Linked DNA regions of Drosophila melanogaster. Changing the gene in region 1 together with any one later gene gives a genetic interaction. Each region holds a gene or a part of one and is shown in the gene's direction. Other genes may lie near its edges.

Region 1 (10,480 bases):
TTACACGCAATGCAACTGAAGTATGGCCAAAGTTATGCAGTTTCGCATCTCACTCTTGGCCTTTTGCGGCTTTTTGGCAAACTTGCTTGAATTATGCAGTTAATGAAAACAAAGCGAGGCGAGGAAAGTGGCTGCGCCGATCAGCTTTGTATCCGTCGAATAAGTGTGTTCTGGGCAGGGTAATCAAAGTTTTGGGTTTGTAGTTCGACTCCTTAGGGCTCTGATTGTTAGCATCTAAGTATTTAAGATTTACATATAAGATCGTCTTATTACTTAGAGCTTACTTTAAAAAGATGAGTGAACAAACTATTTACAAGGCAAAGTGGAAATGCTGGGTCAGAATTAAGATTAATACCTATCTAAATTTGAGGTGAAAGTAGGTGACTAAGTTTTCAAATAGAGCTGGGAAAATTAGAGATACATTACAGGAGTACCACAAGAGATTTAGAATATGAATATTCCTGTTCTAACACCACATTACAGTACATTTTTATGTTTTTTAAGATTAGTTTCTCAAAAATGAACAGACAATTTTGTTTTATGAAAAGAGTAATCCAAATATTATTCCATATTATTCATTTCGTTCTATTGGTTTTGTTAAGCTGGACTTCTGAATCACTGAAATGTAAAGACTTACATGTACATTTTTCGATCGTACATTCATATGTGCATTACGTACATATGTGCCCATTAAAATGCTTTCTTTGTTGCGACTGCGTATTTTGCGTGATTCGCGGGGATGAGCCCATAGATTTAAATCTCCCCGCTCTTACGTATAGAGTGCGTCAGCTTTTGGTACGAACATCTGCCTAGCGCCAAAAAAAACCAGAGGCTGTTGACTCACGGGAAAAAGAGTGTCACTGGGGAGCTCTTCTGTCGTCTTTTTTTTGTTTTTTTTTTTTTTTTTTTTGTGAACCACTCATCCATGACCGCTTTCAGGTGTAAAAAAAGAAGAGTTTCAGAACAATACTCGTAAATTGTACACCGAATTTCGCTCTTATCTCGACTGCTCATCAAGCTAAAAGCTCGTTGTTAAATTCCCAAAATTTGTTAAATTTGGGATAGGGCATAAAGACTGCGAGCAGCGGCGTCCTAAAATGAAAATCTTTTGTTTGATGCCCAATACAACCTGTTGGCAAATGCGCAAAGTATGCCATTTTTTGGCTTTCCGGTTGACAGCTTGGCATATTTTTATTCAAATCGGATACGGAATTTTAATATGCACTTGTTTCTATATTAATTGCTTGTTTTCTCTTGCCATTGACTGAATGCATTCAATAAATATCCGCTTGGCCGTGTGACACTTTCAGAGCGATAATGAGCCAAACTCCAAAAGTGATTAATGGACCTGCTAAATGGAAATCACTCCCAGATGGACACATCAAGGCGAGACGAGAGCAATGCACGTGTCCAGGGAAAGCGGAGAATCGCATGCACTGGATGCATATTTTAATTAATTACTCGGACACATTTACATCTGCCTGCGGATGGGGATGGGGGAAGGTCAAATGGGCTGGCATTTCCTGCCCACTTGGCCATAAGTCGCATTCCGGTGTGCGTCACTCTGAGAAAGTTTGGGGCTGTGTAAAACACAATTAGTAATTGCTTTGATTTCCTGCCTGCGGAGGAGCGTGTTCGATTTCGCACGTTTGAGAAATGGTAGTATGTAAATCGCATGTCCGACCAGTGGCGCACTTCCATATTAGAGCAGCCGAGCCGATACACCTCAAATTGAGTCATTGTTCAATGGCATACGCCACTCACTCCTGGATACATTGAAAACAACGGTTGTATATAGAGTGTTAAGGTAAGTTCTTAAAAAGCATACAGTTAACAACTGCATTTTGGCCAGCCTTGAAATAAGCAATTACATTTTTCAATTATACAGGTAACATTTTCATTTATTGATTTGATTTGAAGTATAACATTAAGTTTCCAGTGTAGTTACAGGAACTCCATTCATTTGTAGGCACGCTTGTAAATAAATAAGTGTCGCCATATCGGCCAGACGTTCATGCCACCACCCACACAGCGAAGATACCCATACCCATACCCATATTCGTAGTCGTACGAAGTCCATAATGAATATGTCACGAACTTGCACCCGCTGATCTTAAATCGGCGACTGTTTCGATACTCCCGACCAGCTCAAGGGGTATGGAAGTACTTAAGCTAACGATAAAGATACGGCTATCAGCAGTTGTAGCGAAAGCCAGTAAACAAGAAAGATAGTGCAATGATGCAGTGAATCATTGAAGAGTTACTAACCTCTCGGAACGCTCACACCGAGCCGCACTATCTTGTGTTTCCTTCCGCTGGAAGCTTCCGATAACTGCTTTCTCGCTCCTGACCATGGGTCTGCCTTTTCTATCAAAACTACCATTGAGTAATAGGTGTAACAACATCGAACTGATAAGACGATTTTATATATATTGATGTCGCAACTTCGAAAATTACTCACCTTTCGATGGCCCGACCATGTATCATCAGTAATTTTGTCATTTGTACTTTATTTGGGTCAGCCGCAGATCAAAAATCGGTTTTGCATTCAATTTCGTGGCCAATTAGCACTTGAACCCAAGACCTCAGTCTAAGTTCAGAAATTGCCGGCAAGTTGTTTCGGATATCTGTGTGTACATACAGTGGTGCACGCCACTAAACGATCATGTTTCGAAATGAAATACATTTGAATGTGATAATACCAAAATATGATTTTACTATCTCTTACCCCGTGGGGGTTATATATTTATGATAAACTTGCATTTATCGCAGAACATATACATTTTCAAAACAATCATTTATAGATTTTATAGCATTTCGACTCATCAAGGGACTAGATCTACTGCGGTTCTAGATTGGCTATGATTAAGTGACAGTAAATTGAGTTTAAGTGGACATTGATATTGGATATATCAAGGCTGCTTATGCAAGAGCATTATCAATGACTATTTGGGATTTCCAAAAGATTGTGAATGGAAAAAGATAATCATCCTTTCGAATACTACGTTGAGTAACCGGCAGCGGCTAACATTCGTATTTTGATTCATTCAAAAATATAACCGGCTTGGTGAATAATACTCTGCAGTATATGATAACAAGTACCCAAGAATATATGGGCTTTTTTTTTTTTGATCTGGGTTTTTTATTTTCGAGGGTGTGGGTGTATTCATACTTATTCATAAATATTAGAAATCAAATGTAGCTAACTCATATCGATTCATTATTTTTTAGATTTTAGTTTCCTTTTTCATGGAACTACTCGATCAATCAATATTTAACGCCATCTGCCTTGTGTTTATTGTGCAATAGGCAAATGTCCCAACTTGGCGGAAACGTGTTAGACTGACACTTTTTAGGTAGCCAAAATCGAAGAGTATAAAGTAGCCAAAAAATATTAATATCGAAGAGCAGAGAGAAATATTAATATACACTTAAGAAAAGAACCTACCCAAAGTCACACAGACCAACATAATTTGAAATATTTGAAGCTATTATACTATTTAAAAAAAATTTTGTTTATTATTGTTTTACAATAAAATACCAAAAATCAAATCATAAGAGTATATGGTATAAAATTATAATGAATGTAGCAATAATTTATATACTGCTACCGATTTAAGTTTAAATTAAATTAAATTAATTAAATTACTTTTTTATGAGTCAAATATAATAACAAAGTGGAAAATACATAAATGTCTTTGACCACGGTGTTTGTACTTTCAGTTTTAATATAATTCTTTCATATGTAAAAAGGAAATTTTAAATACATTGGATTTCAGATCTCTAAATAAAAAACTATACAAATACGGATGAACAAAGTTATAGGCTCAGAATTTAAAAAGATTATTACGAAAAAAAAAATGTTTTTTGCTGCCTAATTTAAAATAATTTTTTAAAATCCTTTAGAGCCTCTTGGAATTCGTGCTTTTTCTTTCTGTGCCCCCTTAAGAGCGTGAGACAAGAGCGAGTTTCTTCTACTCTTACGTATTTTCATAAATCAACCGCGATCGCTGGCATATCCGCCCAAATGAAGAGAAGCTACTCTGTATTTTTGTGCTCTTTGTGCCCGCCTCTTCAAGTCGCTTCACGTCGAGGCAAGTCAGCAGTTCAGTCACATTTAGACATCCGCGCGGTAAACCCGCTTTCGGCGGTATAACGAGATTTTTTATTTCGAATTCGACAGAAACAAATAAATGTAAAAAGGAGAAATTGAGATTTATGCTTGCACAAAACACGCGAATAAAAGAGCACCGCCCACTTCTAGCGTTTTCTTTTGTGGGGTGAACAAAGCGACGTAACGGTTGACAGGAATCGGGTAACGCGAATCGGGAATCGGTGTTGGTATCGGGCATATACTAAAAAACGGATGAACAAGGAAAGTCTTTCCTTTGTGCAGCCACTGCGTGCTAATTAATTGTGTTTTTGTGGCCAAGTGGCATTCTATAGTGTGCATTCTATACACACCAAATTTAAATTCTATCCAGCCCAACCCAACTCAACGCCCCCAGCTCCTTGTTTTCCCACCATTCGTATGCGTCATATGTAAAAGAGCGCAAAAGGGCGGAAGGCACAGAGAGAAAGGAAAGCCAAGGAAAGAAGCAGTGGCCACAACAAAGCGGCAAGCACAAAACGCCAGAACAAGAAGCGCCAAACGGAAAAACGGGAATACCCCCGCCCAATCCCCACCGCTCCCCGCCACAACCCATCGCTCCTTCCGTTGTTTTTGTTGCTGCTGCAGCTGTATTTATGCTGCCGGGTATTCGTGTGAGTGCCGCCAATGCGCATGTGTGTCTGTGTCAACCCCCGCGGCCGAGGCGACAACAATAGCAAAAACAACAACAGCAGCGAAACTAAAACAAAAGTGAAAAGTTCAATTCCCAGCTTAGCACTACGAATTGTTAGTCCACCACATCGGTTAATTAAGCCTCGAACATAGAATAAAGATAAATACACAGTTTTGTTCCTACTGATCGAGGAATAGTTTCGTGTCCAAGTGTTTTCGTTGCGCGAGCGAAAGAGAGCGGCGAAATGTTTTCCAAATATGTTCTCGCCACCCTGCTCGCACTCTTTGCGCAATCCATGTGCATCCAGGAGCTGTCCCTCCCACCCGAAGGATCTCACTCCACCGCTGCGACCAGGTCCAAGAAGGCAAAAACCGCTATCTCCGAGGATATAATGGTAAGGCTCCAAATTTGAAAACTTCGATTTTTCCGAACCCAGCTTTTTTAAGCTCTATAAGATGATATATCGTATCGATCAAGTTAGTAAATTTGGGTGTTTATACAAAGTGCATCGACTGAAATGAAAATAATTCCCCAAAATAAAACGCAATGCAATCAATCATCCTACATATATCTGATGGTAAATGCTTAAGCACTGTTTGACCCAATTGCCATTTCAATAAAAATTCATCAATAATTGACATTTGAATCCCTAGAGCTGTTGGAAATCGCACAATGTTTGCAATAAAAATTGTAAAAGCAATTATTGAATGTGACATAAATAATTAAACAATGTAAATAGGAAGTTAAAGAGCAAGAAGGTAAATTAGAAAGGGGACAAAGGAAAACAAAATTAGCCTACAGTAGGCGCATTTTCATTCCGGCGGCTCAGATACTCAATCCGTATCTCCGCATTTGGTAGCAGACAGTAAATCGAGAGGCGGGTTAAGTACAATCGAGATAGACGGATCTGAAGGCCCCCAGCACACATATCCCCCCCTCCCCCTCACTCCACGATGCAGATGCTGCTGTGGCTGCTCGAGCCTATGACCTCAAAATCCCAAAATGCTCTACATATGCATAGACAGCACGAGACGTAGTTATATATCTAACTGTAAGTTAGGAAGGTATAATTTACTTTTAAATATTTGCATGTTGTGTGCTTAGTAGATTAATCTGTTTCCGTAAAATGTTTAAACAAAGGTCCAGTATCAACCTGTGTTAAGTAACTTCAAAAACAACTTGATTGGCATTTCTGGAAACCGTGATATAAGCGAAATGGTAAAGGATGATGACTTATAATACATGGAAAAAAAGAGATTCCAAGTTTCTCATTAACTTCTGATTTTTATTACGCGGAAGAATACACCAGTATGCAACTCACTTCACTGAACGAACGAAGTCCGCCTTACTCGTTCGAAACGCACTGTACATGTGTGTGCATACAGACGCCACGAGATGAGGGCCCCCAGTAGTCTCGGGTATGGCCACTGCAGTTCGTAGTGCACAATGCACGCTTATTGTTTGGGGGCATGCGTCCTATGGCTCTTAATGCATTTGTGGGTCTGCCTCCATCTTTACCCCCAGCCCCCTCCACCCACAACCCTTACTACATCGCCGCTGCCCATGTGGAGCCCTGGCCACTAGGACATTTCCTCGCGAATTTCTGCAGTTAATGAGAGCGGGCGCATTTTTTTTAATCAGAATAACAAAATATGAGCAATTTACCCATTATGCTCGCCTTTTGTTTTTGTTGCTCGTGTGCCAAGGAGTCGCGGTGGCATTCTTTAAGGCGCGCCAGGACATTGAACCCGCGCCACTGACTCACCAGCTCCAGACATGCGTGCCGGCCAGGATGAACTATTAATGTACAGCCAGCCATTGATGCGATTCTCCTCGTGTGGCTGGGCCAAATCTTGGCGTTTATTAAAGTTCGAAAGCCGTAATTAAAGTTCTGAAGCGTTTGCGGAAAATATAAGAACTGGAACTAAGTAGGACGCACATAAGCTCTGTACCACAGATGGTAGGCACCGAAGATTGTATGGATTTTCTCATGAATGTATAAACAACAGAGCTCTAAAATCGCATGCTGCAATAAATGTTCATGCTGAAAATATATGTCGAATATTATTTTAGAATTTCTAGTGGGATCCTTGGATTCTACTAAATTTTTAAATAATATAATATAAATATTATATTACCTATAGTTTGAATACTCCTAGAGTAATGAATAAGATTGAGAGAGTATCCCTGAAACAGTACTTGGGTCGAGGTCTTGAACGACTTGCATATTGTTTATTTAGTAAGGATACCGCTTCCCAGCTGCCCGTTGGATGAGCGAACATATGCCATATAGAGATAGGTATATGCATATGCATATATGGAGCACTATATATAGCTGCGATATGAGAGGAACTAAAAAGAAAAGAACCGAACGAGCGGACAAGTCGGCGAGTTAAGTTGAGTTGAGTTGAATCTTTACTGGGTTGAGTTCGCCTGAGTGTCGCCAGCTAGGCGATGCCATGAAGTCGGTTCAATAAACGTACTCGTACACCCGTACACACACACACACTCTCCGGATGGCTCGCATACACTCACGCATTCACGCTTATGAGTGGCGTGTAATCAAATAAATGATGGAAATGGAGCCAAGACGAAGTGCAAGATGCCGTACACGGAGAGAAAATGCAGGTCAATATGGTTGTTGATTATTGATTATCCCAGGTGTAAAACAATATCAAACCCAATTGGCTAAAGCAGTAATTAAGCAAAATAACTAATTATGATAATTCAGTTCAGGGATAATGTAGCTAGCGGGATCACAAATACCTTGTTTAGAGCTTAACATCACATGTCAAAGAATATCAATTCCGTTTATGAGTAAATTCATCTGACATCTAAATAATTATTTTAAAATGTTTATATTTGATATTAATAAAAGTCTTGCTGCTTATAAGGACTTAAGGAACAATATAACGAGATACTGAAGGACCCGATTTTTCCAAGTGCTTTCAGTCGACTTGTTCTTAGGGTGGCGAGTTGTAAGCCCTTAGATAGCAGAAAGGACGGTGGGCGGCGGGTGGCAGGGTCACGGCACGGCGCTGCTCCGCGGTTGCATGCCCCAACGGAAGTAGTCCGGAAAATGTACATACATACACATATAGAAAGTGAAGTGAAGTTAACTTATCTGCTGGCGCACAACCACACACATTTGCATGTCGCCATGCAGTAGCGTACATACATATACATATATGTACATAAATGTGGATATATCTGTCTGAGGGAAAGGAGGGCCTGCCAAGATGTATGTGCAAGTTGCCGCTGCCACTGCCACTGCCACTGGGGCAGGGACAAAAGGAAGGGAATGACGAGTGAGCAAACTGTTGCTATTTTCTTTGGAGTTTCGCAAAATTCTAATTGGTGCAACTATGGAAGGAAGGGTTGTCATCCGCAGACTTTGGGGACTTTCCACTTTCGTGTTTGTATTTGTAATTGCTATTTGCGGCCGAGGTCTTTCTGCCACTCAAGGGTAGTTTTCCAATGAGTTCAGCGAAGGAAAGCACAATGAAATTTTGGTCAGTGACAAGAACAGGTGTTTCCTGTTCTTCATAGGAAATGAAAGTGATCGAAACATTTCCATGATTCATTTTGAATGCGTGAAAGAACTCTTTAAATTTTTCGAATATTTCCGACGACTGGCAACTGACAAAACATACAATTTATTATATTTTTATACTATGCCTTTAAATAATTTCTTCTCGACTCGATAATTACTTGATAACCCTTTAGCAGATTTCTTCAGCAAAAAACCCATGTTGAGTGTAATTCTGCTTGATAAATCGCATCGCCCAAGTCAAGTTGGAATATGTTGAAAATTGTATGATTAACGAAGGCTTTTCCAGATATGGAATATGTGCAGTGAGAATCGGAGACTGTATCTTCCCCAGAATCCCTGCAAATAATGCACAATCCTTATTTATGTAGCCATTTAAGGCAATTCACACAGTGCATTTATACGCTTTATTACTCATTTTTAATTGATCCATTGTCAGACCCACCAAATTCCTCATTTTCGGAATGCAATTAACGCAGTTGCAGCTGATGGAAGTCATTCTGAGCATTTTCGTTGATTGTTTTACGGCTTCCTGGTAGGAGAGCCAGTCGCCAGCTCGAAATTTATACCCACCCCGATCGGTGGCATTACTTTTATGACACACTCAAGAAGTAAAGGAAAGGGCACCCCCAAGTCTCTGACGAAAACAAAAAAAAAAAAACGGCCTCTTAATAGGCTTATGACAATTCTTGAAGCGCCAGTTGAGTGCATCGAGCGGTAACAGTCATATAGTATATGTATCCGTATGTATATAGCCGTAGCCAGATCGGATCGAATAATTTTTAAATGCCAACTCCATACGCGATAATCGGACGCAGGAACAACGAGGGAGTGAATCGAGTCAGATCCAACTTGGAACAGATTAAATTTGCCGCTATTAATTAACTGTCGACGATCAAGCACATTAAGTCAAGTCAAAGCTGCTGATTCAGTGCTGTTTCAAAAGCCGGGGAAAAAAAACAGGGTGGAATTTTAATAAATTGAGCTCCACATTAATGATATTATCAATTACAATAACAGATATTTCCGCTCGAATCGTCGACACGACGCCGTGACGTTTCTCTCGAATAAATTAACATTTTTGTAAGGTAATTTGTCAGTGAATGAGTGCGACCCACTGACAAATGCTGCTTGACACCTGTAAAATGCGTTAATGAGACCTGCCCGGCTACTTAGAAAGTTAAATGCAATGATTTGAGTGTAGGAAATCCCTGATCCCGTATTAAGTCAGTGACTAACAGCTTTATACGATTCTTGTGCGTCATGGGAATTTTAAATTACTAGGGCCAATTAAGAGAAGAGGTATGATAGGTCTACAAAAACAAGGTATCAATCTTATCTAAAAAAATTAAATCAAAGAAATATTATCTGTTTTATACCATTTTTTTCGAACCCTAGTTTTTAATTAGCCTCATTTTTCGTAGAAAAGCCAATTTTCCACCGACTTTAGGCGACAAAAATGTAATCCTGTGTGAAGTAAAAGGGCTGAGCTCACTGGCGCCCCCTGCTGGCCAGTCATGCAACGCGGGCGTTCATTTACCTGGCTAAAAAGCTTTTATTAAATTTCGCTTTCAATACATAATGCTGGTGGGAGATGCAGTCGCTGCGGGATGCGGGTTTTCTATTTAGTTTTTTAATTGTGTCACGTAGGGACCTATAGAAAAATGCAGCTGCCTTTCTGGCATTGCTTGCTAGCAGCCCAGAAAAAGGTATGTAAAATAAACTACATCCGATACGTGTTTGTGTGGGCGCTCTGCAACTAAACACGCATTGAAATGCAAGGAGCGGAAAAATTTTCGAGCCGAGCACAAGAACAAATAATGCCCAATTTGCATTGGTAAAAGAGCGGAATACAAAAATCCCGTTAGTACCAAACGGTAGTTTATGTGCTAAAAAATATATACATATATGTGGAAAAAGGAAAATAAGGGAAGGGGATTTGATCGAGAACATGACATCCAGTTTCTTTACAACAGGATCAACTTATGTATTTTTCATTAATAAATAAAAATTTGAAATCTTGTGAAGAAATATACGGGTCCATGATCTTCAGAAGCTTAATACGTAAAATACATATGCTAGAAAGTACGTAATGGCTAGGATCCGTTTCCGGCCTTTAATATAAGTGTATATGTTCCGGATCAGG
Region 2 (10,852 bases), on another chromosome or scaffold:
TTTTCGCCGCACTGTTGCAGCTGCGTGGGCATTTGCTTGATCCTGCCGTACAATTGCTCGGCCAGCGTGTCTTCACCAAGGAGCCAGTGCACTGCGGTCTCCAAAACATCGGCCCACCACACCACGTTTGTATCCCGCTCATCCTCATCAGCCCAGAGAGTGTCCTTAAGGAGGGACGTGTACTTAAGAACATTGCTGACAATGGTGCCGCTGTGCTGCTGTTGCTGCAACTGTTCCGCCTCTCCGCTGACAGAAGATGTGGGCAGGCCTCCCGATTTGTGGCCCGCTCCTACCAGACACTGAATGGCTTTAAACAGCAAATGCTCTCGATATTGCTGATTATTGGAAAAGAAACAATTAGTTTTGAATTGTGTGCGATACACTAGAAATTCAGTCCAACTTACCTTAATGACGTGGGCAGCGGGATCACATGGATTCCTAAGACGTGTGAAGAATCCATCCTGCTCGCCGGAGTCGCTCAGATCGTACGTGAAGACGTGCGTGGCGCAGTAGCGATATCCATAGGCTGTGAATGCCCAACGTAGCTCCTGCGTTTGCTCGGTGGCCCTAGTGAGACCGCACTCTTGACGAGCCCGGCTCATGTAGTATCGGGCGAAGAGCTGTTGCAACCATTTTGGGGCACTGCGCTTCATTCGCAACGCTGTCATTACGTGGATGCAGATGGTCTCGCGCGGTGTCAGTAGATTGTGCGCCACTTCAGCCATGTTGCTTGCGAATAGTGCCATCATAATGCCGTTCATGTCACCGCGGCTTCCATTTCCAGTCAGTTGCAATTGATTCAGTCGGTTGAAGAGCAGGGCCAGTTCGCGTGCAGATGCCAGCGCCTGTTTCCTGCTGGCGGCGTTGCTAAACAGCCCACCGGACCGCCGTGACAGCACCCGACCCAGCCAGAGGCGATGGAAAAGAAAACGAAGGAACTGCCACGTGGTCTGCAAGTAACACTCCAAGCGCGACGCCGGTAGACTTAATCCAAACATATGCAGACAGTTGAGGTAACCGGCGTAGGCCTGAGACGACTGTCCTTGGCTAAAATAGAAGTCAGCCCGCTGCCTGTGCTGGCAGTAGGCGTCCGTTTGCGCGTCCAGCTGCGGATCACCGTAAACCAGCAATTTCACCAAGCATCCAAGCATCAGTGTGAAGTTCAATAGCCATATCCAGGAACTCTGCTGCCAGACAGCAAAACCTTCACCTAAATCAAGGAGAAACCCATTAGCAATATTTAACAACATCTGGATGCTAGGCTAGCTACCTTCCACGTCGTAAGAGAGAATGCGTCTTTGACCGCTCATGTCGCCAAGATCGTCATTACTGTCATAGTGGCCGCGCTGGAGAAAGGTCTTGAAGGGATTGACGGCCAGGATGGCGAACATAAACATGCAGAGTCCGAGGCGAGAGTGGGTGGCCATGCCGCGCATAGAGCTGGGCACCACCAGTGGTTCTTCATTGCTGCTGCTGCTGCCACTGCTACAGCTGGCGGTGGATCCACCATAGGGTGATGGCGGCAACGAGATGTCCGAGTGCATGGGCGAGAGCGAAGGATCCGATTCATCGCTGCGTGGCGGCGTCAGTCCGGCATCCGTGGTAAAGGTCTGCGAGCTCTCGCGGCGCTTCTTGGATGCTCTACCAGGCCGAGTGCCCAGCTGAAGTAAATCCTTCACCTTGGAGCCGTCGCGTGCCATTAGCTCCCTCTGCAGGCGCTGCAACTCTGCCTTCAGATCGTGATTCTGGCGTTGCAGATCCCGAATCTTGTCTATGGATTTCCGCAACACTGCGGACTTGTTCAGCTTGGCCTGCTCTCCCACTACCAAGTTCTTCAACTCGTTAATCTTGTCGTTGATTGAGGTGCGATAGCGCCGCTCGATGGCGTTGTGGGCCGAGCGCTTTACTTCCTTCACCTTGGGTTGAACCCGGTTGATAGGTACCTTGCCCTGGACTTCCATAGCGGCAGGTGACGGAGCCAGTGGTGCCACTCGCACCTTGCTGGCCCGACTACCTGTGCTTGTCGGTGGTGGAGCCACAGGTGGAGATGGGGTTGGACTGGCTACCGTGGGCTGCAAGAGGAAGTACATGGCTTCATCGGAAGTCATTCCGGCCTTAGAGTTGTACGTAATGAAGGGTTGCGGATACGACTGCTGGGGCAAAGGAGCAGAAGCGGGAGCAGGAGTTGCAGCAACGGGCTGCATGACATTGACATTCTGGTTCGCAGACTCCACCGGCGACGTGGGCGGGGACATGGACTGGTAGACAAAGCTACTGCCCAGAGATGGGGGATACACCGCCGTGTTCGGCGGCATCCGCTGGGCGTCCATGTGATGTATGGTGGCTGTTGGTTGGGCGGCCTTCAAAAGGCCCGTCGGCTGTTGCTGGGGACAATTGTAGCTTGTGGCTATGAGGGGATCTGGTTTGTAGACGAGAAGCGGCGACTGTTGTTGCTGCTGATGCAGTTCCTCCTTGATGTGCACTGGCGAAGAGTGCTCGCTTTTCACGTGCGGCTGTTGCTCGACGGATTGCGGCTGCTGATCCACGGACTGCGTCTGCTGGGTATGCGTTCGAGGCTCGTCCAGCAGCATGTTGTACATCTGCGTCGGCGCCAGGTCCATGTCGTTGAGGATGATGTCCAGCATGTCCGAGTGCAGGTCGGCGTCGAACGGTTCGAAGACATCCTCCGCTTTGAACAAATCCATGGACTCGTCCAGCGGAGCGTCTATTAAGTTCATCAGTGTCGTGTCCATTGCGAATGCTGCTGATGAAAGGGACAAAAACGGTTCGTAATTAAATACTGGCGGGCCCACGTATGTGCATATTTATGTATGTATGTTTGTACATTTGAGGATTGTTTATTAAAGTTCTATGCGGCGCAATAACAACAGTGGGACAAGTATGTTGGTGCCGGAAAAAACAAATATTAATATGTTTATAATCACATTAATTCATTTAATTACCCTTTTTCCACAGTGGCCACTTGCAGCTTTAATAACAGATTAAAAGGGGTTTTTATAATTAAATTTGTAATATACGTAACAAAGTTAAAATAAATCTTTTAATTGTACTCAAACCTAAAGTGAATCACAGTCGGACCTGAAAATGGCATATGTGTTAACTTGTTTTTGTTTGTTTGTTGTTTGCTCGTAGTTAAAATAGGAACAAAATATAATATCTTGAGATCATTTTGGCTATATCAAGTTTTGCTAGACTAATGCAAATTGCAATAGAGGCGAATATTTTTAAACGGTCTAAGCTTTTACTTCGCTTTTGGCCCACTGTGCACTGCACACACACATACGCGACCGGGAAAGCATGCGTAAGCGCTTTCAACCAATCAGAGGGCTCGACCGGATCATACGATGTTTTTAGTGACGCCACTTGGCCTTTGGGAGCTCCAACAGGGCATTTTCCCAGGCTCCACTGGTTTCCCGATCTGATTTCCGCGAAAATTAATCTATTAGACACTATCTACATTATTAGCAGAAAAAGAAACGCACCTTTACCACCTTCTATCTGTTTTCTTAGTTCACGTGTGCTTTTGTTTTTCCATAACTGGTTAATGTCAACGCACTTTGCTTTAAACTAGCGACTAGTTAGTAATAGTTGCAACACTTGTTGTTCATGGTTGTTTTGATTTTTTTCACGAGTATATTTGCAGCTTAATAAACAATTGCTTTCGATTGCAGTAAACTTTGTTCTTCAGGGATGACGAGCAGTAGTTCGGGCCTAAGGAACTGGTTCAGGTCTTGACTCCCTGGCATCAAGAAACAGCTGTATTACTTACAATGCCTGTATAGAAATATATATATTTAATAGTTTATGATGTATTTTATAAAACTGCCATAAAATATCAACGCTGATTCTGACACGCAGAGTAAGGAAATAAATTCAACATGTATAAGTGTAATTTAAAATATGCGGTTGTCCTCGCTGAGCGTGGTGGATGTCACCGCTACCTACATTCAAGAGAATAATTAAGAGAGCGCCAGAGCCGTGTGACCGCGCTAGAATTACTTAAAAATACCAAGGAATGTTGAAGACAAAAAGTTCCGGTAAATTGGCACAACGCACTGGCCACACTGCTACATCACATATTCAAAATCGGGTAGGTAGTCGCGACGGAAAACGGGAAACGCGGACGAATCGCGGAGCCAGAGAAGCGGTAAATTCGAAATAACCGTTTGGAAAGAGCAACATGATGAGGTTCTTTATTCGTTTTTAGTAAAATGGTACAAAGTGAATATGTGATTTAATTGATAACCAGCATGGGCGCCGTCAGTGTTAATTGCGTTCTGAATTGCTCTTTCGAAAACGCAGACACAAATGCACACACACAAAGTAGCGGCACCCACACGATCGCAATGGCAAAAGTGCTGCAGTGATAAAACAAATGCACAGCCATAAAGGCAAAGTCGGAAAAGTTTCACAATGCACTGGCGGCCCATGCATAAAAATGTACAATTTGGCGCTCTTTGCACTTGTCACGTCGTTGGAAAAGCAAAAAAACCTACCAACCAACAACAATAGGAACATAAACTGAAACAAAAAGAAAACCATTTTTGCTTCGCGCTTTTGTTTTTGTTTGGACCGCCGCTCACGCACTTTCGCGCTCACACGCAGAAACTTTTTGCATTTGTTTTCTTCACCCGTTGCATTATCACAACAACTGATCTCCTCTGCCCTCTCTCTGATGCTCTTGCTCACACTTGTTCGCTCTGTCTCGCCAGGGTTGCCATTTTCGACCGACAAACTTGCACTTGCTACTATGAATAACCTTTAAAACGGTTTTATTTTGGCACAATCTTAGGATTTATTTACGATTTTTGCGATTTACCGCATTTGCTGTCTGCAACAGTTTACATTTTTGTTTACCTTTACGGTCGCCAATTGGAAATACTAACTGCAAATTTGGTTGCCTTAAGTGTAGGTGTATTGTTTTCAATATAGACGAAGCTTATTTATATCAAATGCCTATTATTTAAATTAAACTGAAAACATTCAACCAACGGTCATCAGGAAAAGTATCTTAAGAGGACTATTTCACTACTAAATCCTATTTTTTATATTTCTACTTCACCTTAGCTTATCAAAATCTTTATAAATCCGATTGTATGTATGATGCAGCATAATTTTATTATTCTCGGTAATATATGGATATGCTTCAAATCCAAATATACAGACTTTATTTATTCAATAAATTAGTTTAACCTAATGTTAAACTAAATATAAAATAACTAAAATTAGTTTAACCTAATGTTAAACTAAATATATTACCGAACGCTGTGATTATGACTCTGTTATTTACCAACTGTCTTGCAACTTGGAAATATTCCTGTATTAATCATTTCCTATTTTCCTTGATACAAAAGAGCCTTTATTTCACTGCAATATTGAGTCATCCAACAAGCTGTTGTTGTAGATTTGGTCCGATTTTTCTATTTCTTCTTCTGACTGTTCTCATACTCTCTGTGCTTCTGTTTCTCCGGCTTTCTGCATAAATTACATTTTCCGTTTGGACTTTGCCAGTTTTGCTAGTGTTAGCACCTCCTTGGCGAAAAGTTTCCAACGGAAATTGTCAGCAGAAAATGAAAAACTCCCATGTAAATACTCCGCAAACGCACACACGCACGAGCTCAGCGGAATACACACCAATACACACGCACACACTAGCAGCGGCAGCGCTTAATAAAGATTAACGCATTTCTTATCAAGCGGTGATAGCGGGCAAAGAAGATGGAGAGAGCCGAAGCGAGACAGAGCACTAGCACTGCGACAGCATTTGAGCTTCGCTTTTCGCACACCCGATAGAGCGGCATAGAGTGGGAAAGGGATGGAGACAGAAGGAGACAGTGATATCTTTTCTCTGCCTGATTAGCAGTAGCAGCGTCTAGTTTTTCTCGTGTTATTTATTTGTTTTCTGCTCTCCGCCGCCGCTCCCGTTGCCTCTCCCTCACAGCAGCCGCCTTCGAACGCCGACGCTGCCTGCTTTATTTTCGCGCCGCTGCTGATAAAATAAAGAACAATATTAATTTAAGTTTAAAAATAGAATTCGCTGCAGATGCCCATTGCATGAATGTGTGCGAGCGGGAGAACGAGAGAACTGATTTCGCTCTCCCGCTCTCTTACAGCACACACATGTTGATCCGCAGCGGCAGCGTCAATTACTGTTCTCATATCATCTCCGAGAGCACGGAAATCAGTGATGGCAAGTGAGAGGAGCAAATCTTTGGCGGATAGCAAAAACCGCTAAGTGTGTGGCAGTCAACGCTACTTTTCTTAGTATAGTACTTAGTTATACCTTTTATCGTGCAATTTTTAAATGAGGACTATGTTTTTCCAAAATGTATCTGCTCAATATAATTTGACTATTTATCTTTTAATCCATTTAAACCTAGTTTTAAAAATTTTAAAAAAGTGTTGATAATATATCTTGATGGATATCTTTCGGATATCCTACACTGAGCGAAACTAAAATTGTTTGATAAAGCGTCCTCATATGCCTACCTTAACACAGTGAAAAAAGCCAAAGTGCCATCTCTGGGAGCATGCGGTGTCGCTCGCCCGATTTTCGTTTGGGGCTTTCAGTATTATTCTATTCTCCTGCGCCCCAAGTTGTTTTTTCGGATCGGCAAAGCCGCGTGCGCCCCATCGCACTCTCGCACACACACATACGCACTCACAGAAAAAGATATTATGCATACATATGTATGTTTAATATATATATTTCTCTGATTGGATTGGGGCAAAAACAAAACCCAAAGAGTGCGAAAAAGGTGAAAAAAGTAAAAAGCCGAATAGAATTTCGAATAAAATCCAGTGCGGTTTGTGTTAATAATTATTATTGAATGAAAAACAAATTCCGACAAATGTGTTAACAAGAGTGTTCGCAGCCGCAGCGCCATAAATTTTACAACAATACGGGGAAAAAATCGAAAAAATAACGAAAACTGGAATTTGTGATAATTGTTTTTCGGGCCAGTCAGCGAGAGGGAGAGCAGTGCAAAGATAACAGATTTGTTTTGTTTCCCTGATAAGCCACTCTACTGATACAGCGGTGTAATTTTGGACACTCGAACCTTGTCATATTAACTTGCTTATTTGACTATAAATTCCGAAAATAATACTCAAACACTTAGAATTTGAACAGTTCGGCATTCGATTGTTCTTCCAGATTCTTCGCAGTAATCTTGTTCGCTCTTTGCGCTTTAAGAACCAGAACCCAATACAATGCATTTCTCTCTTCTTTTTGATTGCTCTTTAAGCGTGCATTGTTGTGAAATTTACCGCTACAAACATTAGTTAGTTATTCACTCTCTCCCACTAGCTCTCTGCCCATATGCAAACACAACAAAAACAACGCGAAATTTAAATGTATATTAACCACAATATTTCCCATCCGAAGAGAGAACGCGAGTAAATAGCAACCGGAATAACAAAAAGCACAAAGTGAACAATCGTTAAACAACCAAAAAGCAAGCCAATTAGAAAAATAAACACTGCACAAAAATCCAACAAAAAACAGGAGAATAGAAAGGAAAACGCCGTGATCGTGAAAAACAAAAAACTTTATCTAACTGTAAATCCAAACGCCAACGTGGGAGGCATCCGAAGCGAAAACATCGGATGAGCAGGCAGAAAAGAGAGGGAAGAACGATCTCTGGCAAAAGCTGATGACAAAACGAGCAGTCAACCTGTAAGTTAGCCTCATATCTTTGTCAAGAAAGATTATAACGATCTCGCGGAACTGAAATGACCAGTAAATATGTATATGCATACATATACATGTGTATATAGTTGTTAAATAAATTTCGAAACCACTAGAAACACAACTAAAATAGTTACACATTTTGTTTTAAAATGATCACATGATCATATTTTTTGGTTACCGCTGAAAAAGTTTACTTAATCTCCGGCAGTTTTGCTTTCAATTTATTTGCCAAAAACCAATACTTTTTGGTAATCCGTAATGCGAGCTATTTCCGATTTAAATAATTACCCCGATGCGTGTGTGGTGTCAGTGGGAAAGCCACTTGCATTGAAACCGAAACTCTTGGGTTACCTCAGCTGGGACCCAAGCTCCCCTTCAGATTTTCCCGCAATTTTCCTGCTTTTCCCATACCCCTAACGAATGAGAGAGTTCGATAAAAGTTGGCCACCAAAATGCCGGCAATGAACCGCAACAAGTTGGCTTTTCCCATCGTTGTTCTGTTAAAAGTCGGTGGGGAAGTGCTCAAATTGCTGATGTGGCTTCAGGCGTTTTCCCCCAGGCCTCTACGTACATACATAGCCTTCGGGGAGTCTTTTCTAAACAATTTCATTTGCGTTTTCTGGTCGAACTAAATTTTTATGGTGTGGAAAAGAAAAATTGAAATTGAGAAAAAATCAAATCTTGAACGTACTGCATTTTTTGGGTGTTTCGTTTGTTTACATTATTCTCGGTTTGCTAATGAAATTGAAATGTTCGATCTCTGAAAGCGTTCTATTAATAAAGATTGTGTATTTATAGGAAGGCGCTCGCTATTTGCACAGGAGTGTATGCGCTAGTGGGGTGGTGGGTGGGTCGTAATTGACAGCTTCCTCGAGACCTTACAGCATATTATTTTTGGCAACTGGCAGAAACGCAGAATGCCCACAACTTGCACGTTGAATCGTATTTTTTTTGAGTATCTGTTCTGTGTCAACATTTACGAAGAAATACAAATGTTTCCCCCATTTCCATGGTGTTTGCTTGCAAAATATTAAGTAATAAACATGTTCGACTCCCTATTTCTGGCTTCAAAGCCAACCAAGCCGTCGTCATCCACCATTCAGATTGAACAGGTGTTTTCTGTTTTTTTCCCATTTATCCTAGATAATTCGCAATGTAGGTACAACTAACCTTAAAGGAAAATATTGAATTTTGATTTGAATGCTACTAGTGTTTTATTTGATTTATACTGATACTAGCTGTAGTATAATGTAGCCATTTAATTTAAATAGATTCCTTGAAGCGATATTCAGTAATAAGTATTATTTTAAGCTGATATACCTAAAATTCTTTTTGGCCCGAATTTAAATATTCCTAAATTTCGTTAGATAAACAATTCAGTTCGGTTTTTTTTGCCAAATTTTCTCACTCTCATTTATTCCCATAATTTCCTTCGCGGCCGACGTCGCATCCGCAAAAAAAGAAAACCAAACCGACAAAAAAATATTTTAAGAGGCGTTTGTTTAGTCTTTTTCTGGTTGCTTTTCGCACACAGCCCTAAACTTTTACCTTAAATATAGAATCGTTTTCAGAAACTCTGAAACAAACAATTTGCTTGCGATTAGCTTTCATGTACTTCGGGGCATACACGAAAGTTTTGAAATAGAATTAAGCTAATAATTGGGCGGAAAACATAATTGCAAAGCTACGAAAACTGGAAGGTTAAAATTCGAAATAAAAATTGCATTTCTATGTTCTATGTTTGTATAATGAACGTCAGTCAATCTAAAATAATAACGCGGGTTGATGCCATCTATGAACGCAATTAGGATCCTGGTCTAAAATCATGTATTGCCCGTAGTTCCTGGTTTAAAACGTGCTCTGTTCAAACAATTGTTCTTCTGCTTCGTTTTTTTTTTTACTTTTTGTATATTCATTTGCGCTAAAACCGCAAAAAGTTTTGTGGTTCGGCCACGACGCAATCTTATCATCTAATGTTCTAAAAATAGAAGCAACAACTACACCATGCATGTATGGATGGGGCCCCATCGTCAGTACCGTCCCTGAGCGGGCCTCTGGAACTTGGAGCGAAAATTGTCGCCCAACCTTTTCAGCTCTATCTCGCTATCTATCTCTATCTCTAGCTGTATCTTAATTTGTGTGGGTTTAAATAATATGGAGGCATGGGCGTATCTCTATCTGAGTATCTGTATCTGTAAATGTATCTGTGTGGTATCGCCCGGTCTATACAGCAGCATTGTATCTTTTTGCGAATTTCGCTAACAACAACAATTTCATTTTCTTCTTCTTAGCTGTGAATTTTGTATTTTTCTTGTTTTCTTTTAGAGCGACCGTGTGATCATTTAGCGTCCTGCTAATTTAATTTGAGTCTTCTGTTCTTGTTTTGGATGTCTGTTTTTTAAAGTGTATGCGAGAATGTTTTTAAAGTTTTCGAGTATGCAAAGATTTTAGTCTGCTACAATTCCATCATAAAAGTATAGAAAATGTGAATCTAAAATTTGGAAATTATTGCAATTTTGTTGATTTGTTAAATTATTAAAACAAGTGAATCTATGAACGTTTCTGTACACGTTTTTCTTCTCATAAAAGTTAATACTCTTCACTATATCTTCGAATGAAAACAGCTTAGCACTAAAAAATTTATTTATATTTCGTTCGAAAAAACTGTCAACTTTCAATAATATATTTGACGCCCATAATTCAATTAGAAGTAATATACTAACTGAATCTAATACAATTTTGCTATATTTTTGGGTTTTAAAATTCCGTAAGAATCAGGCGAGCTACTGCGTCATGGCCCAATAGTTATACCCATTACTAGCGGCCTAAAAGGGTATGCTACACGCGTTGACAAGAATGTAACAGCCAGAAACATAGGTTTCATATCTATTCTATTCTATTCTATCTATTCATAATTAGGAGGAATGGCCCAGTCAATTTTGGCATGTCCGTCCGTGTTGTTCGTCTGCACGATCGGCGAGATCCCGGAAACTATATGTAAAGTTTGGAGTCAACATAAAGATTTTAGTTGCGACCGCTCCTACATTCGAGGTGAATCTAAGATTTTTGTTAAAAGAGTAACAGGTTTATGTTTTATTTGTTAGAATTAGCTTTCAAATCGTGCGGGATATAAGATAA
Region 3 (10,873 bases), on another chromosome or scaffold:
CGTTGGCATTTTTCAGCTTTGAGAAATAGATCCATTTTCCCGGAACTGTACCTATCTACTGTATTTCGGTACAAAATACCAAAATTGAGAAGCCAGTTACAAGGCGAGGTGCAAACTTTTCCGGCTTGAGCTTGTCGCGTCCTTTGGCTTGGCGTTTATCGAATTATGATCGATTTTTGCGCCAGGATGCCGACGAAAGGCGGCTCGAGAAATAGCATTAAATTATTAACGTTTCAATTACGATTTTTAATGGACATTTTTCACAGCAATTGAATTTGCATCGAATATCTTTCAACTCGGAGAACGGCGACGAATGGAGAAAACGACCCCTGGACCACTGCAACCGGCCTAATTGAGTAAGGAAAGTCGAATGGAATATTTTTGCCACAGAGATGAGTCCCAAAACTCTGTATAGTATGTTGGCATTCCATCCCGCCTAGGATCCCAAGGACCCACGATGTAACCGCACGCCCTGTTCCAAGCGTACTCCTGAATACATAATGTGATGAGACAGAACCAGGACCAGGAGCAGACAAAACACACACAATGCCTCGTCCTGGAAATGTGAAGCCAGCCATGTAAATATGTATGAGTGGTGCCACAGCTTCCGGCGTCTCGTTGATAAGCTAAGGAATTTGAGGAGCCTTGACATACTGGCCACCCCCGACATCCATGGCCCCTCATCCGCTCCGTCCTTGTTAGTTTGCTTTAAGTGTCCGTGTACTGCCTGGGGCACGACCCACACTTCGCTTGGTGTTTGTGTTGTGGTTGGATTAAAACACACTTCCCCACACTGTGATTCAACAAAAGTGCCCGGGCGACCGCCTACACAGAGAAAATCTTCGGACAAATTCCAAATATAAATATCTCAATTAGTTATAAAAAACAACAGTAAAATATGAAGTAACAGTTTCAAAATATTGATTGAGATATTGATATTTAATATTTAATACATTTTAATAAATCTAACAATAGTACGGCTTTGTTTTCCTCACACTTTTTGTCAGTGTAGTCATATGTGTGCTGGTCTGGCAGCTTATGAAAATATGCGTGAAGTGTTGAATTTATTTGTCTAACAAACATTTTGACTTTTCGCTTTTGTTGCTAAGATTTTAATTTGCTTGGCTTGTTCCGTTTCACTCGGGGATGGATGAATGCAGCCCGAGCAGCAGCAGCTTGTGCGCAATTATTCATGCAATATGTCTGCTAACTTCCAGCCGTCGAGGAACGGGACACCATGGCGGATGTGGAACGTCGACGAGTTGGCCTGAAGTGCAATCGGAGATTTGACGGAGGCAGCAATGTTAGGGCTCGCTTTTTGGCTTACTTGATTACCCTTTTCTTCAAGGTGAGATTGCTAATGCGACCTTAACGAAATTAATTATATCCTTCCTTCCCTTTCAGAGCCACCGGAAGTTGGCCAAAAAGCGGTCGGTTGTCCGTCGCTTGTCCTTGTCTGCGTATCATGCTTATGCCAGTGTCCTTGGTCCCTTTTGTGCGCTTAAATGAATTGTGTTTGTCGCAGGGCTTGATTACCAAAGGGCACCCCAATTCGGCGGATGTAGCAACAGGTGCCGAGAAGGACGAAAATGTCCTTAAAATATAAACATCGCCATTTCAGCTCTGTATGCGGCAGGCGATGAAATTATGCCCGTTGAGGTTTTGAACGGGCAATCAAAACCAGAGCTGGGCAGCTCTCTCGGGTGGTCTCTAGTTGACCGACATTGTGGCTCCGTTTGGCGATGGCAGGTTAACCAGGCCGTTTCGCTGACACTGCCACTTAATGCGGCATTGTTCGCATTCTCATCTGCAGATTATGAGCCACACTCGGGCGGGGGGAAATGGAAATGAAAATGAAAATGGAAATTACGCAGCACAAATTAGCCAGGAACTGTTTGGTTGGTCTTGTCGGAATCCAACATACCTGGCCACAGAAGCCACAGAATACGTGCAAACAGGTTGTGCAAACGTAATTTGATTACATGGATTATACGCTAACAAATATGTTTAATTTATGGCCTTTCGGGCGAGTCCATCAGAGTCACTCGGCCAGGCTGAGTGAGTGGTGGAAAAGCAGGCTCCATTTGTTGCCTTCTCAACGTAGCTGCCCCGATTGATTGCATAACAATAAATTATGCAACGCACCATGATGCTGCTGCTCGACGTTGATGTTATTGGCGAGTGCAGGTCCTGGACAAGGACCTGTCCGCTTGCCGTTCACTTTTAAGTTTCAAGTGCTGCTGCTGGCGAGTGCTTTTAATATTCATCTAATGCACTCAACGAGTTATACGCCAGCTGAGGGGTATTTTCAGGGATATTTGAATGAGGCATGATAAAAATGTATTTTCAGTTAAGATTCTGAAATATTTTATACATTGCTTATATAGTACATTATCTCGTTCTCTGTGGAATTTGAAGAATTAAGTAAGGTTCTTAAATCATGTTATCAAGTATATAGCATTATAATAGTTTGTAGTGACCATACAACTTGGTTTATGAATCAGTTTTCAGATAGGGTATGAATAAGTCCAAACGACAAACACTCCGCTACTAGGAGCATTTTTCTTTAAAAACTCTTGTTGGTTTCGAGACTGCTGTTGCGTTTGCATCAGGCAGCGGCTGCAATTGAATCCTGTGCCGCGATGATAGTGCTCAGACGTGTGGGAGTGTTAAGTGAGTGCTGCCACCTGCAGGTAGCAGGATGCGGAATGGAAAACGCAGGATGCAGGTGTGTTCAGCGACCAACTTAGTATGGTAATCATCGATGTGCCGTGGGCAATGCAGGAGTCGATCCAGCAGCTAGGCAATATTACGCATGCAACTCGGGGCGCACGTGACGTATGCGCAATATGGGCAGCTCCCACTGCCACGATGCTGGAGATATGCCCGAGTTGTTTATGCATTCATTTTATGCATTGACTTTGATTAAGTAGTGCGGTATGCAGAATGCCTTTCTCCATTTGCGTTTGTTGCGGCGGCAATAAATCCATTTGCTTGGCTATTTGTAATAGCATCGCGCCGCAAACGAGTTGAATATTGTCTTGAAATAGATCATTGATTGATTGGTTTTATGTCCTGACACATCTCGTCTGGTTTCCATGTGACAGTCTGTCTTCTGTCTGTCATCGAGCAGTGAACCTAACCGACGCAGTCTTCCAGGCCAGACAAGCTGGAAAATATGTCCTTTGTCCTGGAAAATACGTCCTGTGGTTTTGAAACCCCACCCCCCCCCCCCCGCCACTAATTGTGCTAATAAGACGCTGGTAATTATAATTTAATAACATCTCCGCCTTTGCCGACTAAAAACTCTAGCTCGTGTTTGCCATTAGAACTCTCTGTGTGTGCAATTAACAGCCAGGCAACCAGGACTAGAAATCAAGACGGAGGGCGCGGAGCTGGCATATAAAAATTGATTTATGCCGCCTTTAAGGGCGGAGTACAATTTAATTGTAAGTCAAACAGTTCCCCGCAAAGTTTATGCAGTTGAGATTTAATTTGATTACACGATGGGCTGGAGAGAAGGGCAAACATCTCCTGATTGCCTGAATAAGCAATGAGGAAAGGCAATTTTCTCCGAATGGGTTGAAGCCCCAGACTTTGGCCAGCGGACGGGTGAATCCTTAAACACCAGCAGGTGCTGGTGCCGCATGTGCACTTGTGTATTAATAAACAAATTACGCAATTAATAACACCCGCTGTGCGCTCAGCTGGGCGCAAAATGTAACACTTGGTGCATCCTTGTGCTCTTGGCTTAAATTAAGTGCATCAGAAGCAACAGAAGCTGCGCTCCGTGCATTTATGGCTGCGTATTGAGGCAACTTGTGCGGACATAAATGGCTGAGTGAATTGCTTCTGGAGTGCGGGAGCCCGAAAGTGGCCACTGAACCAACCAGCCAACGCCAGCATCCTCGTCAAGTGCTTGGGCCAGGCTGTTAGCATCGTTCCTACAGCTTTTTCTTTATGGCCCGCATAAAAATTCAAGGGGCGGCTGGGCAGAGCCGGCTAAACTGAACTGAACTGAACTCAACTGAAAATGTATAAAAACTTACCAGCTAGGCATTCTTTTCCGGCTCTTTCCGCCGTTGCCTTGTGCGCTCACACGGAAAAGCAGACAAAATGTATCTGTGACAGCGCAGCGCCAGGAGAAATCCAGGATAACCGAGCGAGCGAAGCGAACGAAAGACAACAAACGAATATTTATTACAGGTGTTTGCCTTTGACTGACAGAAGGCGCAATCTGACGCCGGAGCTTAGTTTCGGGCACTTCCCAGTGAGGAACTCTGAAAGCTGCGGGATACCCGGGCTTCCAGCTTTCACATAGGGCCACGTCAGCCCATTCCTTTGTTCGATTCTGCCTGCAAATTGATTTCGCATCTTTTATCTGGCCAGACGATGGAAATTTTGCAAATCCGATTTGGTTGAAGAATGAAATGCGTTGCAGACCCAACCGGAATTCCTGAAAAATCCCGAGCCAAATGCAGGATCCTGAAGGGCTAAAAATAACAACAGATTCTGCCGCAGAAATCATTGTGTTTTCTCTATCTATTCATGGTTTAAATTTTAGTCATGGAGGTAAGAAAGTGGAATCTCCGCGAGAACAGAAAAAGCAGAAAATAACGAGGTCCTGTGAATTCATCTGTTCATCTAGTTATGCAAATCCAAGTTAAACGTGCTGCAAGGCATCTGTGTTTCTCGCCAAGTGAGATTTGCAGACCGCCAGGAAATGGAAGCAGGATATAGATACAGTAGTTGTAGCAGAAAGACAGCGAAAGGATATAATTACTATGATGGCGGTCATATTGATCACGAGTCCCAAGGACTAATGAGCAGTTGGGAAAGGAAACTAGGCGGCTGTTCAGTGCTCGTGATGTGTAATTAATTTTTGGGCAACATCTGTTTATCCTAATTAGAGACGATACAAACACACACATGCCAGTGGAGGTTGGCAGGAGTTTTGGGGATGAGCCCGAGGCGTTCTCTTTTCATTTATCATTATTACTGGGCTAGACTAAACGGGGCCAAAAGGTCAGTAAGATAAAAGTTGGAATGTGAGTCGATTAAACGGTCAGAAATCAAGTGAATAATGACCGCAACAGCTCTTTCATGGCAAGTGCCCGCCACTTACTCAGCTTTCAAGATTTCAATGGAGCTTCATAATGAGTTTTGAATAGAGTATTGGTCATGGCGGGATTGTAAGCCAAATACTTGGCGAAAAATCGTAAAAAAAAAATACAAAAAATACCTCGCAGCTCTAATGGAAAATTGGGCAAATTGAAGTCGACCAACTTTGTCGTAAAATGAAATTGCTAGAAATATCAGCGGATGGTACAATCAGAATAAGGCTGAGCGGATGCCCATCAAAAAAGGGGCAAGTGTGTGTCCTTTTTTTCTAGCAGTCCAGCCATCCTTTTGACTGCTCCGAATTTACCAATTTATTATGCGTGGCTTCTTTTATTTGCCATGGCCAACTGGCTGTTTGTCTGGCCGAAAGGTTAACAAGCCAGAAAGCGTCGCAAATCAAAGGGAATTTCAAACTGGCTGCAGGCGAATGCAGATTAGGAGAATCAAGGGATTATAATTAATCAGACGTCTTGGCTCTTACAGCAAATATCGCATGCGATTTTATTTCCAAGCGACTGTTGCGCGCTGTTCAACAAATTCTGCTTTTCTACCGAGCGCTGTTTCTCTTCCTGCTGTTTCAAGTTTTAATGTTCCAATCTCCAACGTTTCCATCTTTCCATTCGTTCCGGAACGAACAATTTCGAACGCACAGTTCGCGCTGAAAATTCAGTTCGTGTTGAAAATTCTGCCGCGTCGGTCGTGCCAATTCGAACGAGCGGAGAAAACTGGCCAGAACTAACGGTTCTTGCCGACGGCACATAACGGTAGCTAACAGTGTTGCGTGGGTGTTAGTGTAAGGGTGCGCTGTGTGGGTGTGTGCCCTTGTGCGTGTGTGTGAGTTGCCGAAGCGCCGAGTGCGAGTCCGAGTGCTCGTGATCGCGAACAACAGCTGTTTTGCACCATTTTGCGAACTCAGTTCCTGTTGAGTCCTCGATCGAAGCAAAAGGATGTTAGCCATATATTGAAGTTATAATTACAGCTGATTGATAACCAAAACTAAAGCTCGAGGCAGCTACGTGCCTTTTGGCCAAAAAACCGAAATATTAAAATTCGCAATAAGCGCGACGAGCGAGTGAGTGCATTCATAATGAATTCGCGAGTGTGAGACGAGTGTGAATGTGTCTTATGTGATTTAATGGGGTTTTCTTCAGCGCCGTGCTAGTTTCGCCTAATCAAATCGCTCGCTTTCGTTCCATTTCGTAATTTCGCTCATTAGCAAACAATTTTCCTTGCTGTCGCCGAAACAAACATAGCATTGACAAAGTGCAATTTTCATAATTGTCCCGCTGTGACATTAGCATATATGCAAAAATAAATATTTCTGTTTATAGATGATGTCAGTCAGCAGATCAGAACTGCATTTCCTTCGCCTTTGTGTCTGCTCTGCTTGAGTAATGACAGCAAATAATTGGTTTGCCATAAATTGCCAGTGCAATGTTGCCGTTGCCAATCCATGCAATTAACAAATAAAACATATTTCAATCAAATTCTAGCGCAAACAAACTATTAATTTCACAAAACCCGGCCTAGTCACGCCCAATCGAAAAGATCAACAAACCACCAAGCACTGAAAACTAAACACTTAAAACTTAAGCACTGCAAAACTGAGTAGTGAATATCGAAAACCAAATGCTGAGTATGGAGATTTTAGGCAAAATGCGTGCAATTATTCAACGCATGACAACCAATTAATTGGCCAAAGAGAGCGAGAGCACACGAGACCCGGGGCAACAAGTCGATATAGCAATAGCTTTTGAAAATATATAGCTATCTGGTGAGCCGGTTAACGCCAGCAAGTGCATCGGAAAACCAGCAACAAACAAAAACTTGACCGATTTTCCAAGCGATTCGGTGACGGGCTCTCGCTAATCTCGCCCAGAAAACTCAGATCACAACCGCCATCGACATCGCGATGATTTATGCAGGTGAGTCTGCTCGAGTTTATGACACTTTTCGAAGTTCAACTAATTGTAGATATTGTAAGTTTGAATATTTAATTCAAATCTCTGAAAATCATTTATTTCAACTACAATATTTGAGGCAATACAAAATTATATTTTAAAACCATTTGGTAATAAAACTATCATTAACCTGTTCAAATATATATTCAGTCATAGACTTTTTACTATACCAGTAGCTTCTCCTATTTTATAAAATAATACTTACTTAGTAGTGGACAAAAAAACTCTATTAATAGATTAGAAGCTTTAAGGCGTTAAAATTGATTTATTATAACAGCGCAACTCATTATATTAATGCATTTCTTATGCTTGCATATGTTCATTTTGTTTGCTGATCAGGGGATCTACAAGTTGTATTCGAGATATTTGCACCCAAATAATGAATCGGTACCAGCAGAAACCCCAAAGCAATGTTTGGGCAATGAGAATGGGTATTAGTGCCAAACAGTACTGGCCATAAATCCATAGTCTCAGTTAATTACAAACCCATATCAACATCTCCGAAGGCGACGACGCAATTAGTTTGGGGGGAAAAGGCGCGCGGCATACAAATTACGAAGCAAAACGAAAAAATTCGTCAAGTGTTTTGTGCATTTTTGCGGTTTTATTTTATTTCGCTTTTTTATTTTGTTTTTATTTTTATTTTTTTTTTTGCACAGGGCTTAGCACGTGGCTGTTGACCGCCTTTGGTTACAGATTTTGTTTATTCACTTTCGGTAGCCTAATTAACTAAATTGGCTGGCTTGTTGACAATGGAAACCAAAGTGCGACCCATCTACCACTCGGCAAGAGTTCCTTCGCCCATCTTCCGAGTTTTCCCCCACCAAGTGTGAAGCTTAGCAGACACAAAGGCCAGTTGACAGGTGAAATGGGGGCAAACAATGGAAGTTGTTTTGACAGGGTCACAATGGACAGCCCGGCCCAATAACACGGACAGACTGGCCGACGGAAGGATGGGTTGCCAGCCGAACGGCTGGGAAATGTAGTAATAAATTAGGTTTTCAAATGGATCCCCATTTATTTCAACTTTAAGTGTGAAATTCCAGTCAGCCCGACTTTTATTTAATGCCACTCAGACATCCCTATATGCGGCTAAAGTCACGACTCGGAGGCATTAATTAGCCAGCTTTCCCAAACCCGTCGCTTTAACTGATAGTAAGCCTAAGTATAAGCGTTTTGAAATAAAGATACTTTAAAATACAACATTTTTATTGTTGTATGCATTTCATCGTGAGTCTCTCATTACTTTATAGAGCTACGTCCTTTTGAGCAGATAAAACGCATTAGCTCACCATCTTGTTCCATTTTACTATCAGAGTACACTTAAAACAAATTCTTGGGCCATGTTGCAGATAAATAGAAAAGTACGTTGCATTAAAGCAGTATATTTTATGTCTAAAATAAATTATTAATTAAGTAAAACGAAAATATTATTTTATAATGGAATTTCTCATAAAAGTATTATTATTAAAAGCTCCATTGATAACTAAAAAATCATTTATTCATTTGTTTCGAAAAATGGTACGCTAAAAACTCTATGGACATTCCCATTTTGACCATGGTATTGAAAGCACTTCTAAAACAGTGCCCGTGTGTCCAGCTATGGAAATCTTCACGCCTGGCCAAGCACAGGGAGCTGGAAACAGGAAGCAGTGCGAACTGGGAACTGGGAAATTTGAAGTGAGAGCTCTGCCCCAAGTGGCAGCCGAGCTGGACGTAAACATAATTCTGTGCTTTGTGCAGCGCTCTGTAAAGGCATTCAAATTGCTTCCTTGTCCAGCGGGCACAACAATGGCAAGCTACGTGCATAAGCCACCGAAACCTGAGATTCTTTGGCCAAGTCGAACACAAAAGAGCGTCAACATAGAATTGTGCAACCAGCGAAGCAAATGACTTGCCACTCGGCCCGAAATGCAGGGGAAGCCCACACGTACTTGGAAGTAAAGCAAAACAAAATAATATAAAACAAACCAAACCAGTTGAAATATATTAATGGGGCGGGCATGAGATTGTTTTAGGTGCTTGCTTCCACTTTCTGTGTGTGTGTGTGTGTTGGCATTAAACTTGGCATTAAATAACAATAACCCGGCAATAAAACGAGGCGAAATGTGCAGGAGGTACCCTTTCACTTTCAATCCTCGACTCGCACTTATTTAAGCGTGTGCTTCTTCGTGCCACTTTGCAGCTTTATTGCGAATTTCTCACCTCACTACCTGCCGCCTGGCTCACGCGTCGTATGCGTAATGGGGCACATGTAGGAACAGACGGGCGACAAGAAAACTGCGGCAAACGCACGATATTGCGTATGCGGCATGTCGACCCTGATTCTGCCAAAAATTGAGCCTTATACATGCAGAGTACGTATCTGTTTAATGTACTTAACACTCAGGGAGCACTTTTTCAATGCATCGCGCTCGAAGAGTGTTTTTTTGGCTTTTCCTAAGACGATTATTGTTGCTTAGGTGGGTAGCAATAAGAATTCCCAGGGTCAGATCTAGTAAAAGTTTTGATTGGCACGCAGTGGCCTGCAAATTAACAACTCATTGCAATGCAGCCACAAAGTGGGGGCCAAATGAAGCATGAAGGGCCAATAGCCACTGGCCGGAAATGAGTTCACTGCTCGTGGCGAGCTTAGCTCTTGAAAAATCACCTAATTCATTTAAATAAGCAAGAAGGAGTCGACGCCGAAAGCGCGCCAAGTCCATTTACGAAAAAAGGACCTTCCATCCAACTTGGCAAGCCTGAAGTCACCGACTTGGCTTTTATCTGCAGAAGTAGGATGCCTCGTCGTCGTCGTCGAGTCGACAAACTAATTTAAAAATCCACTTGCTAAGCGTTTCCCACCTCCGAGTTCCATGGTCCATCGACCGAAGAGGGCACTCTCTGGGGCCAGGGCTATTTATTTTTTCATTCCCTGCCTTTTATGCTGATTTTGCACTGCGTGGAAATAGTAGAGCAAACATTTTAGCCCTCGAGTGTTTAAATATAAAACGGAAATGAGCTTTACTCCAGGTCCTTGGGCTCTTCTAGTTGCCATTTTCTTTTTTGTTCTCCTTTTCGACCGAAACGTGCCAAATGAACTAAAAAGCGAGAGTCTATGGGTTTATTTTAAAAAGCTAATTAATGACTGCAACTTTCTTTGCCAGACACTTTTGAATTAATTGCACACCTCCACGACTCTGAATGGGCCCAATTCCATTCGAGAATCATGCAAAGTGCCAGACACGAGCCATGTTTGGGATTCCAACGCCCAGCAACTCTCGAACCATATCGTAGATAAAGTCGCATTCGCGATTGCATCGCAATCGAATGCAATCGAATGCAAAATAAAACTCATTTTTATATTCTGCGTTCTGTGCTGACAAAGCAATTTATGGATTTGATTTCAATTGTTTTGTCATGTTGATTGGCAGTCCGAATTGGCAACAACTCATAGTTTGGCAGACAGCAATATATATTTGTTCGATGTCAAATGGCAGATGAAATAGTCTCTCATCCGATTGAACACCGCTCGATTTCTCAGCTCTGAGCTCTGAGCTCTGACCCCGCCAAGTTGAATCGAACTGAATGCTATTGAAAACCGATTTGATTTCCTGGGTGTGTGTGGTGGCTGTGTAATTAATCTAATTTGCAGCTTGCCTTTGGGGCAGCATTTTGTGTGCTTTTGTGTGTGCAATTACGTGCGTGTTGACAAAAGTCGAGCGTTCATGCCACCACTCAATGAATTCCTGCAGCTGTTCATGCATTCAGCTCACTGGCATTCATTAGTTAATTGATCATGCGTGGCGAAA

The links.
Region 2: of Mmp2 (region 1) and Gyc76C, changing one suppresses a phenotype caused by changing the other (phenotypic suppression), as found in Drosophila melanogaster (one study listed by BioGRID).
Region 3: of Mmp2 (region 1) and Oamb, changing one suppresses a phenotype caused by changing the other (phenotypic suppression), as found in Drosophila melanogaster (one study listed by BioGRID).

Annotation. Positions count from the first base shown.
Region 1 is NT_033778.4:9,677,481-9,687,960, reverse strand, and holds the start of Mmp2 (matrix metalloproteinase 2), read left to right. Parts: upstream 1-4,102; 5' UTR 4,103-5,028; coding exon 5,029-5,178; intron 5,179-10,480. UniProt on the Drosophila melanogaster protein: Has metalloproteinase activity. Proteolytically cleaves the PGRP-LC receptor; involved in gut-fat body innate immunological communication (GFIC)-mediated activation of the imd/Relish signal transduction pathway.
Region 2 is NT_037436.4:19,786,811-19,797,662, reverse strand, and holds the start of Gyc76C (guanylyl cyclase at 76C), read left to right. Parts: upstream 1-4,093; 5' UTR 4,094-4,235; intron 4,236-6,052; exon of another isoform or gene 6,053-6,215; intron 6,216-6,621; exon of another isoform or gene 6,622-6,779; intron 6,780-7,408; 5' UTR 7,409-7,699; intron 7,700-10,852. Other genes in the region: SREBP (sterol regulatory element binding protein), read right to left, coding at 1-335, 405-1,210, 1,271-2,753. UniProt on the Drosophila melanogaster protein: Guanylate cyclase involved in the production of the second messenger cGMP.
Region 3 is NT_033777.3:20,709,492-20,720,364, reverse strand, and holds the start of Oamb (octopamine receptor in mushroom bodies), read left to right. Parts: upstream 1-5,787; 5' UTR 5,788-5,885; intron 5,886-6,614; 5' UTR 6,615-7,046; intron 7,047-10,873. UniProt on the Drosophila melanogaster protein: Receptor for octopamine (OA) which is a neurotransmitter, neurohormone and neuromodulator in invertebrates. Stimulates intracellular accumulation of cAMP and Ca(2+) following ligand binding. Required for ovulation.